2 linked regions of the Xenopus tropicalis genome follow. The protein of the gene in region 1 binds, or shares a complex with, the protein of each later gene. Links are inferred from orthologs where the notes say so. Each region holds a gene or a part of one and is shown on either strand. Other genes may lie near its edges. The genes, in order: eif4a1 and kank1.

Evidence for each region.
Region 2: the proteins of eif4a1 (region 1) and kank1 are in contact, whole or in part, in a crystal structure (PDB 7DDX), measured with the Mus musculus proteins. The link is inferred for Xenopus tropicalis from reciprocal best matches to the Homo sapiens genes EIF4A1 and KANK1. Residues at the interface, in NP_659207.1 of Mus musculus: Lys99, Val140, Arg141, Val144, Gln145, Lys146, Leu147, Gln148, Met149, Glu150, Ala151, Arg168, Arg169, Tyr170, Ser172; in NP_852069.4 of Mus musculus: Gly1168, Asn1169, Asn1171, His1175, Tyr1176, Val1178, Asn1201, Lys1202, Ala1203, Tyr1205, Met1209, Leu1210, Leu1213, Ala1214, Ala1215, Gln1240, Ala1241, Leu1248, Ser1251, His1252, Arg1254, Asp1273, Glu1274, His1285.

The regions. Positions count from the first base shown.
Region 1 is NC_030679.2:152,589,037-152,592,630, reverse strand, and holds part of eif4a1 (eukaryotic initiation factor 4A-I), read left to right. Parts: intron 1-1,667; coding exon 1,668-1,716; intron 1,717-1,806; coding exon 1,807-1,939; intron 1,940-2,117; coding exon 2,118-2,257; intron 2,258-2,841; coding exon 2,842-3,010; intron 3,011-3,552; coding exon 3,553-3,594. UniProt on the Homo sapiens protein: ATP-dependent RNA helicase which is a subunit of the eIF4F complex involved in cap recognition and is required for mRNA binding to ribosome.
Region 2 is NC_030677.2:128,764,592-128,768,408, reverse strand, and holds part of kank1 (KN motif and ankyrin repeat domain-containing protein 1), read left to right. Parts: intron 1-1,067; coding exon 1,068-1,155; intron 1,156-2,164; coding exon 2,165-2,384; intron 2,385-3,151; coding exon 3,152-3,294; intron 3,295-3,573; coding exon 3,574-3,774; intron 3,775-3,817.

The sequences.
Region 1 (3,594 bases):
ACCCCCTAACCCCACATTGGCCTGAGTGCTGTGCCAGTCTGTGGGCCCCTGGTGGTGCCAGTGTGCTGGGGGGGTATTTCCGGTCCCACTAAGTACATGGAGCGGGCACAGTCCGGGGCATTAAGCTGCCGATGTGATTCATAGTGGCCCTTTAACTGCTGCGTTGCGCTTGGGCGTCATTTCACCTACTGCCTGTGACTCATGAGCCGTTGTACCTGCCCCCGTGCCGACTGTGTGACCTGAGCTTAATTGCCCTGTTTGTGTGGCATCAGCAGTTACACCGTGCCCAGCCTGCCCCCTCCTACCCGGGCACCTCACTGCGGCCAAATGGGGCTGCGTTATCCCCCAGTAACGTCCTGCAGGGGGGGCCATTACATCCCAGTGGGTGAGACTGCCGGCTCAGCGGGGCACCTCTTCGTAGCCAGTGGCAGATTGGGGCCTGCAGGGGGCGGGATTGGGCTATTTTAAGATGCTGTAATTCCAGCTGCTGAACTACACTTCCCAGCATGCTTTGAGGGACAAGGGAAAAGTAAGGAGAAATTCTGATGTGGACTGGTTACAGTAGGGAATGTGAGCCATGTGTAGATAGAGTGTAAGCTCTGTGGGGCAGTGTTTGTGGTGACATGATGGCACCGTCTCACAAGCGAGTCTGCCCCAGGCATATGGGGGGGCACATAGCCTGACAGTAAGTGCTTGTAGGGAGCGTGTGACTAAGCGCAGAGCAGGGAGCTGCCTGTAACAGAGCCTCTTTGTGGCGCTCGGCCCAGTCACGCCCACAATATATCTCCTCCCCTTCTGCATTCCTGCCCCCAGGTTTCGTTTCTCATCGGGGGGGGGTGGGGGGGGCAGCTGTGTATGGTATTATTGGGTGGCCCCCTGTCTGAGGGGAGCGTTGGTATAATCATGGCAGCTTCTCCCAAGGGGATAGTAATGTGGCCCAATCCTCCTGTGCCCTCTGTGGGCAGTAGCTGGCCCCTCTGTGGGCAGTAGCTGGCCCCTCTGTGGGCAGTAGCTGGCCCCTCTGTGGGCAGTAGCTGTGCCCTCTGTGGGCAGTAGCTGTGCCCTCTGTGGGCAGTAGCTGGCCCCTCTGTGGGCAGTAGCTGGCCCCTCTGTGGGCAGTAGCTGTGCCCTCTGTGGGCAGTAGCTGGCCCCTCTGTGGGCAGTAGCTGGCCCCTCTGTGGGCAGTAGCTGGCCCCTCTGTGGGCAGTAGCTGTGCCCTCTGTGGGCAGTAGCTGTGCCCTCTGTGGGCAGTAGCTGGCCCCTCTGTGGGCAGTAGCTGTGCCCTCTGTGGGCAGTAGCTGTGCCCTCTGTGGGCAGTAGCTGGCCCCTCTGTGGGCAGTAGCTGGCCCCTCTGTGGGCAGTAGCTGGCCCCTCTGTGGGCAGTAGCTGGGCCCCTCTGTGGGCAGTAGCTGTGCCCTCTGTGGGCAGTAGCTGTGCCCTCTGTGGGCAGTAGCTGTGCCCTCTGTGGGCAGTAGCTGTGCCCTCTGTGGGCAGTAGCTGTGCCCTCTGTGGGCAGTAGCTGTGCCCTCTGTGGGCAGTAGCTGTGCCCTCTGTGGGCAGTAGCTGGCCCCTCTGTGGGCAGTAGCTGGCCCCTCTGTGGGCAGATTGGTTACTCCTGTGTCCCCTTTCCAACGTTAACCCCTCACTCTCCCTCTTGTCATTTCCAGACCCAGAGACAATGGACCCGAAGGCATGGAGCCCGATGGGGTCATTGAGGTAATGTATCCAGTCTGAGTGGCCACTGGGGGTGGGGCGGTGGCCATTGGGGGTGCCCCATCAGGCACTAACTCCTCCCTCCCTTTGCAGAGCAATTGGAATGAAGTCGTTGATAGTTTTGATGACATGAGCCTATCAGAGTCTCTGCTTAGGGGTATTTACGCCTATGGCTTTGAGAAACCCTCAGCCATCCAGCAGCGAGCTATTATGCCTTGTATCAAGGGTAAGTATTGCCCCTTCTGCCCTGTCCTGTTTGTATAATGGGCTGTCATCTGCCCCGGCTCCCCCGTAACTTCCTGTAATGCCACTTGGTACATTCCCTTCACTGAGTTTACTAGTCCTATTGATACCCCACTTTGTGTGACTTGGGGTGAGTGATGTCATGTCTGTCACCCCTTTAGGTTATGATGTCATTGCTCAAGCACAGTCTGGAACTGGGAAAACTGCCACCTTTGCCATTTCCATTCTTCAACAGATAGAACTGGATATGAAAGCCACACAGGCCCTGGTGTTGGCACCAACCCGTGAGCTGGCCCAGCAGGTAAGTCCCGCCCCCTCAGGGTCCTTTTTGCCGTTAGTAATTCCTTCTACACAAACACTTTTCTACATTCATCCTGTGGCCAGAGCATTCCTTCTGCATATATCCAGGCTGCTGTGCCCAGAGCATTCCTTCTGCGTATATCCAGGCTGGTGTGCCCAGAGCATTCCTTCTGCATATATCCAGGCTGCTGTGCCCAGAGCATTCCTTCTGCATATATCCAGGCTGCTGTGCCCAGAGCATTCCTTCTGCATACATACAGGATGGTGTGCCCAGAGCATTCCTTCTGCTTATATACAGGATGGTGTGCCCAGAGCATTCCTTCTGCTTATATACAGGATGGTGTGCCCAGAGCATTCCTTCTGCTTATATACAGGATGGTGTGCCCAGAGCATTCCTTCTGCTTATATACAGGATGGTGTGCCCAGAGCATTCCTTCTGTGTGGGTATTTATTATAAATCTGTGACTGCTTGGGGGGCTACACAGTGCCATGTGATTGCAGTACCCCCTCCCAACTAATGCCTCTCACATTGGCCAATCGCTTGCCTGAATACTTAGCTGTACCTCTGCTTGTCTCCTCCCCTAGATCCAGAAAGTAGTTATGGCCCTCGGAGATTACATGGGTGCCTCTTGCCACGCCTGCATTGGGGGCACCAACGTAAGGGCCGAAGTACAGAAGCTGCAGTCAGAAGCCCCTCATATAGTTGTGGGCACCCCCGGCAGAGTGTTCGACATGTTAAACAGGCGTTACCTGTGTGAGTATCATGAGCCTGCCTCTGATTGGCTGGGATGTACAGGGCTCCCTCTGCTGGTGGAAGGGAAGGTTGCACTTGGGCGGTGGAACATTGAGCCCATTAGTGTGGAATGTTCTCTGTTTGGAATGAGGCTGTTTATGGGCGGTACCAGCACAGGCTTGTTGGGTTGGGCCACTAATTGCAGCGTAGTACAGAAGTGCTCAGGGACTTGGATTGTAAGCTCTGTGGGCCAGAGTGTGCGGTATTAATATGCTCACTACCCATCAGCAAAGAGGAATCTGCCATAGAAGTGCCTATAATGTGTAGCTCCACCCCCCGTCACTGGGCAAGGGCATGTCACGTGGCATCGCTGCTTATATCTGGCGGGGGCAGAGAAACCTCCCATATTCATCCCAGCGCTGTGCCCCCATGCCTGCTGGCTGGTTCATGCTGTGGGCACAAATGCCAGGAAGGGGGGATCCAGCTGTGAGTGGGGCGGAGCATACATTGAGTACGTTGTCGCGTGGCGCCAGTGCAGCACTCACTCCGCTCTGTATCCGCAGCCCCTAAATACATAAAGATGTTCGTGTTGGATGAAGCCGACG
Region 2 (3,817 bases), on another chromosome or scaffold:
TCGAGAAATCTCCTTTCACAGATCACATGAAAATTCTCAGCACTCTGGATCCATTGCAGTTGCCACATTTAAAACAGTTTACATGCAGCAAACCAAGTGGATCTAAGGGCTAAGAATCTTTAGACATGGAAGCTTCCATGTCAGATGTAGCACTTAGTGTTGCTGAACCTCTTGTCTTTAAAAAAAGGAAAAAAAAAATGCTGTTGAGCCAAGCCTGCTATTAGTCTAAAACTGCTAATATCTCCGAAACCACTTAAAATAGTCAATGAATGTAAACTGCACAAGTTCTCAGGGGAACACAACAAGCAAGTTAACACCAATTCATATCTATGGGTTTAGATCCCCTAAGAGGTATTTATACTTCTTTAGATTTCAGATGTTCATATATTTTAACAGAAGATAGGACACATTGTGTTTTCACGTATAGGTATTATGATGGCACGTAGATGCGAAAGCTGCTGTTGTGCTTGGTTGTTGTACTGCTGGCAAATGACATAAAAGAACAGAACATATTGTGACAGACAGGTGACACCTGCTATTTAGAGAGTTCCTGTGGCCAGGTGGTGCACACAAAGAGTACAGCAGCTGAGTGAATGTCATGCTTTTGTCACTGCCATTGTTTGTACTGTAGAAAGCAAGCCATTGAGTGGAAGTTTATTTTATGGATGTAACAATAGTTGTATAGTTCAGCGTGTTACATACATTCTCTTTCAGATATATCTTGTGTTATGCTTTCTCCATTATATCTTTTCTGCTTTGACATCCCAGAACATAGGAACATGTTATTTTATTTTTATGCTCCTAATTATACTAAAGAAAATACATTTTTTTCCCCTTGTTTATCAAGGTGCAGCAGAAAGTTCTTGTTACGGGTCAGCCTGTAGATTGAATGATCATGACATTTTTACTAGTTGTGTAAAAATAATTCTGTCAGCATTGTGTGAGTTAATGGTTTTTTTTTGTTTTAAACAGAGTAAAATTCTAGTTTGGGTTGGGCTGAGAATGTCAAAAAGAATTGTTGGTTTAAGCCAGAAATGTAATTAACTGAACCGCTGCAATTTTAACAGATACGAGCTGAGTGAAAAGATGCTGTCGGCTTGCAATGTGCTGAAAGACACAGTGAGCGATCCAAAGGCGTTGGCAAACAAGGATGTGGTAAGCTCCCCTCAATGGTACTTTATAATTTAGTCTAATTTGGGCACATATTTTTGAATATTTGAAGGCAGTTCTTTTTATTCATCCTTCTCTGGCAATGTGAGACCACAGACCAATGTCAGAGCCAGTACTGTACTGACTGTAAGAAAGCCTCATTCTTTTCTGAAAGGCTCCAAGCAGCACCATGGCTTCCTGCTAGCCATGCATATCTTTGGCTTCTGTGCAGTGAGGAGCATTAGGGAACATTAAGGGTCAGCCTTTTTTTGTGTAATAATAGGATTATGCTAAATGTTAGCCATTCATTTCAGTTTTCAGAATCTTTTATTACATAAAGCCAACAGAACCTAGCAAATTATGTTTATTTCTAAAGAAGATGTTTGCTTATAACAAGAAGTTGTATGCAAGGTCATACTCTGTATTCACCCCCAGCCCCACAGCTGTTCAGTGATATTTTTGTATGCCTCCTTCTGTCTAAAAATCACCCTTTTAAGCTGGTCATACATGCACCAATATTATCATATAGAATGAGGTTTCCTACGATATTTGGTGTGTATATGGTGTATTGTAACGTGTATGGCCACCTTTAATGTTAAGCCATAAATGGTACCATCTGTGCTTTCCTTTGGGTTTATATGCACTGCATAGAGCTAGCAGTTCAGATCTTCAACATATAATATGAGGATAATCACATTTACCATGATTAGATTGAGTATGGAATGTGCATTATTCACTTCCAGGAAAATCATTTCCAAACTCTGTGCAAATTTCACTTACTGCATAAGGAGGCTTGCAAAGCTTTAAACTATGAGTAAGGAATCTATAATATAAAGGTGAAATACTTTCCCCCTGGTCCTGTGACCTTGTTGAAGTCCCAAAGACTTTCTGGGGTTATTAGTGCGAAATCGATATTTCGGTCACATATACTAGACCTTTCTAAAGAATGATATATATATATATATATGTATAATATATGTTTATATTAGAGTGATTTTTCTTTTAATTATTGCAGAGGCTGTGTCTGACCACAGTACAAAATGAGTGGTTCCGTGTGTCCAGTCAGAAATCTGCAGTGGCGCCCATGGTGGAGGATTATATTACTGCATTCAAGGACCTTTCCCCTGCTGTCTTAAGCTACATCATAAATATGGCAGATGGCAACGGCAACACAGCTCTTCATTACAGTGTGTCCCATTCCAACTTTGACATTGTAAAGCTGCTGTTGGACGCAGGTTAGTTTTCTACTAGAGGTAATCCAGGAAGTCAAAACCTACAGCCCTAAAAATATATTACTATTTTCTAAAATGTATCTCCTTATAAAGAGAAAAAGAGTCGTAGTGCAGTGTTATTACTTACATTAGTAAGTGGGAAATGATAAATTACTTTTTGTTTACTTTTCCCATTTTGTTTTTTCCTTTTTTTAACTGTATACCCACTTTTGCCTGATCTGATCAGTATAGGTAAGACAAATGAGTGTTTTTTTTCCTATGAATTCTTAGTTTTATAGAATTAGGCAAACATGGGAAAAAACACTATATTGTTTGACTTATCCACTCAAAGGTTGAATCTAGTCTTTCCACTTTCAAGTTAGTGATCAGATCACATAGTCGCCACAGCTTTTTAAAAAGTTGCTGTGACTAATAAGCCCAGTGCAAATGACGTATGGTTAGTCACTGTGGCTTGTGTGTTACCCTATTTATTTTTAAAAAGTCAAAGAAACTAATTGCTCTGTGTTTTTCACCCTAAAGTGTAAAGATTACTTGGCAAATTAAAACACCATAGTCTTTTGTGTAACAAAACATTTGTGTTGGGCTATTTGTCTTGGGCTATAGTCACTGTCACTTTTTTTTGATACATACCATTTCATTTATATAGCAATAAATGGCATTTGTCATGTATTAAAATGTCCTGTATAACCGTCTTTATTTTCCCTGCACAATCATGCCTTTGATTTGCCTGATGACTTCATGTTTCACTAGAATGCTTGGTTTCTTTGCAGATGTGTGTAATGTAAATCAGCAGAACAAGGCTGGCTACACTCCCATAATGCTTGCTGCTCTTGCAGCTGTGGAAGCACCCAAGGACATGGGGGTAGTGGAGGAGCTCTTTGGCTCAGGAGATGTGAATGCCAAAGCTAGCCAGGTCTGTATAACAGATACTTTATAGCTTGTTAGGTGTTTACCTTGTAACAAGGGTTAAATGCTAGCCTTATTTTTTAGATCTGTTTAAAAGTAGCCACAGCCAGCATAAAGGCTACCATAAATCATTTCATTACCTATTCTTTTTTGTTGCTGCTCCCTGATAAATTCTTTCCCCAACAACCCCCTATCCTGTTGCATAAGTATACATAAATACAGTATATGTAGTTGGGAAAGGGAACCTACAATGCCCGTATAATGTAAATATATTTTCTGTTTGCAGGCAGGCCAAACTGCGCTGATGCTCGCTGTCAGTCATGGACGCATAGACATGGTCAGAGCCCTTTTGGCATGCGGAGCTGATGTCAATATCCAGGATGATGAAGGCTCCACAGCACTAATGTGTGCAAGTGAACATGGACATGTAGAGATTGTCAAACTGCTGCTGGCCCAGCATGGCTGCAATGCTGCCCTGGAAGACAATGTAAGTGACTTGATGGTGGACTGGGGCAAATTGTTTTTCTTCT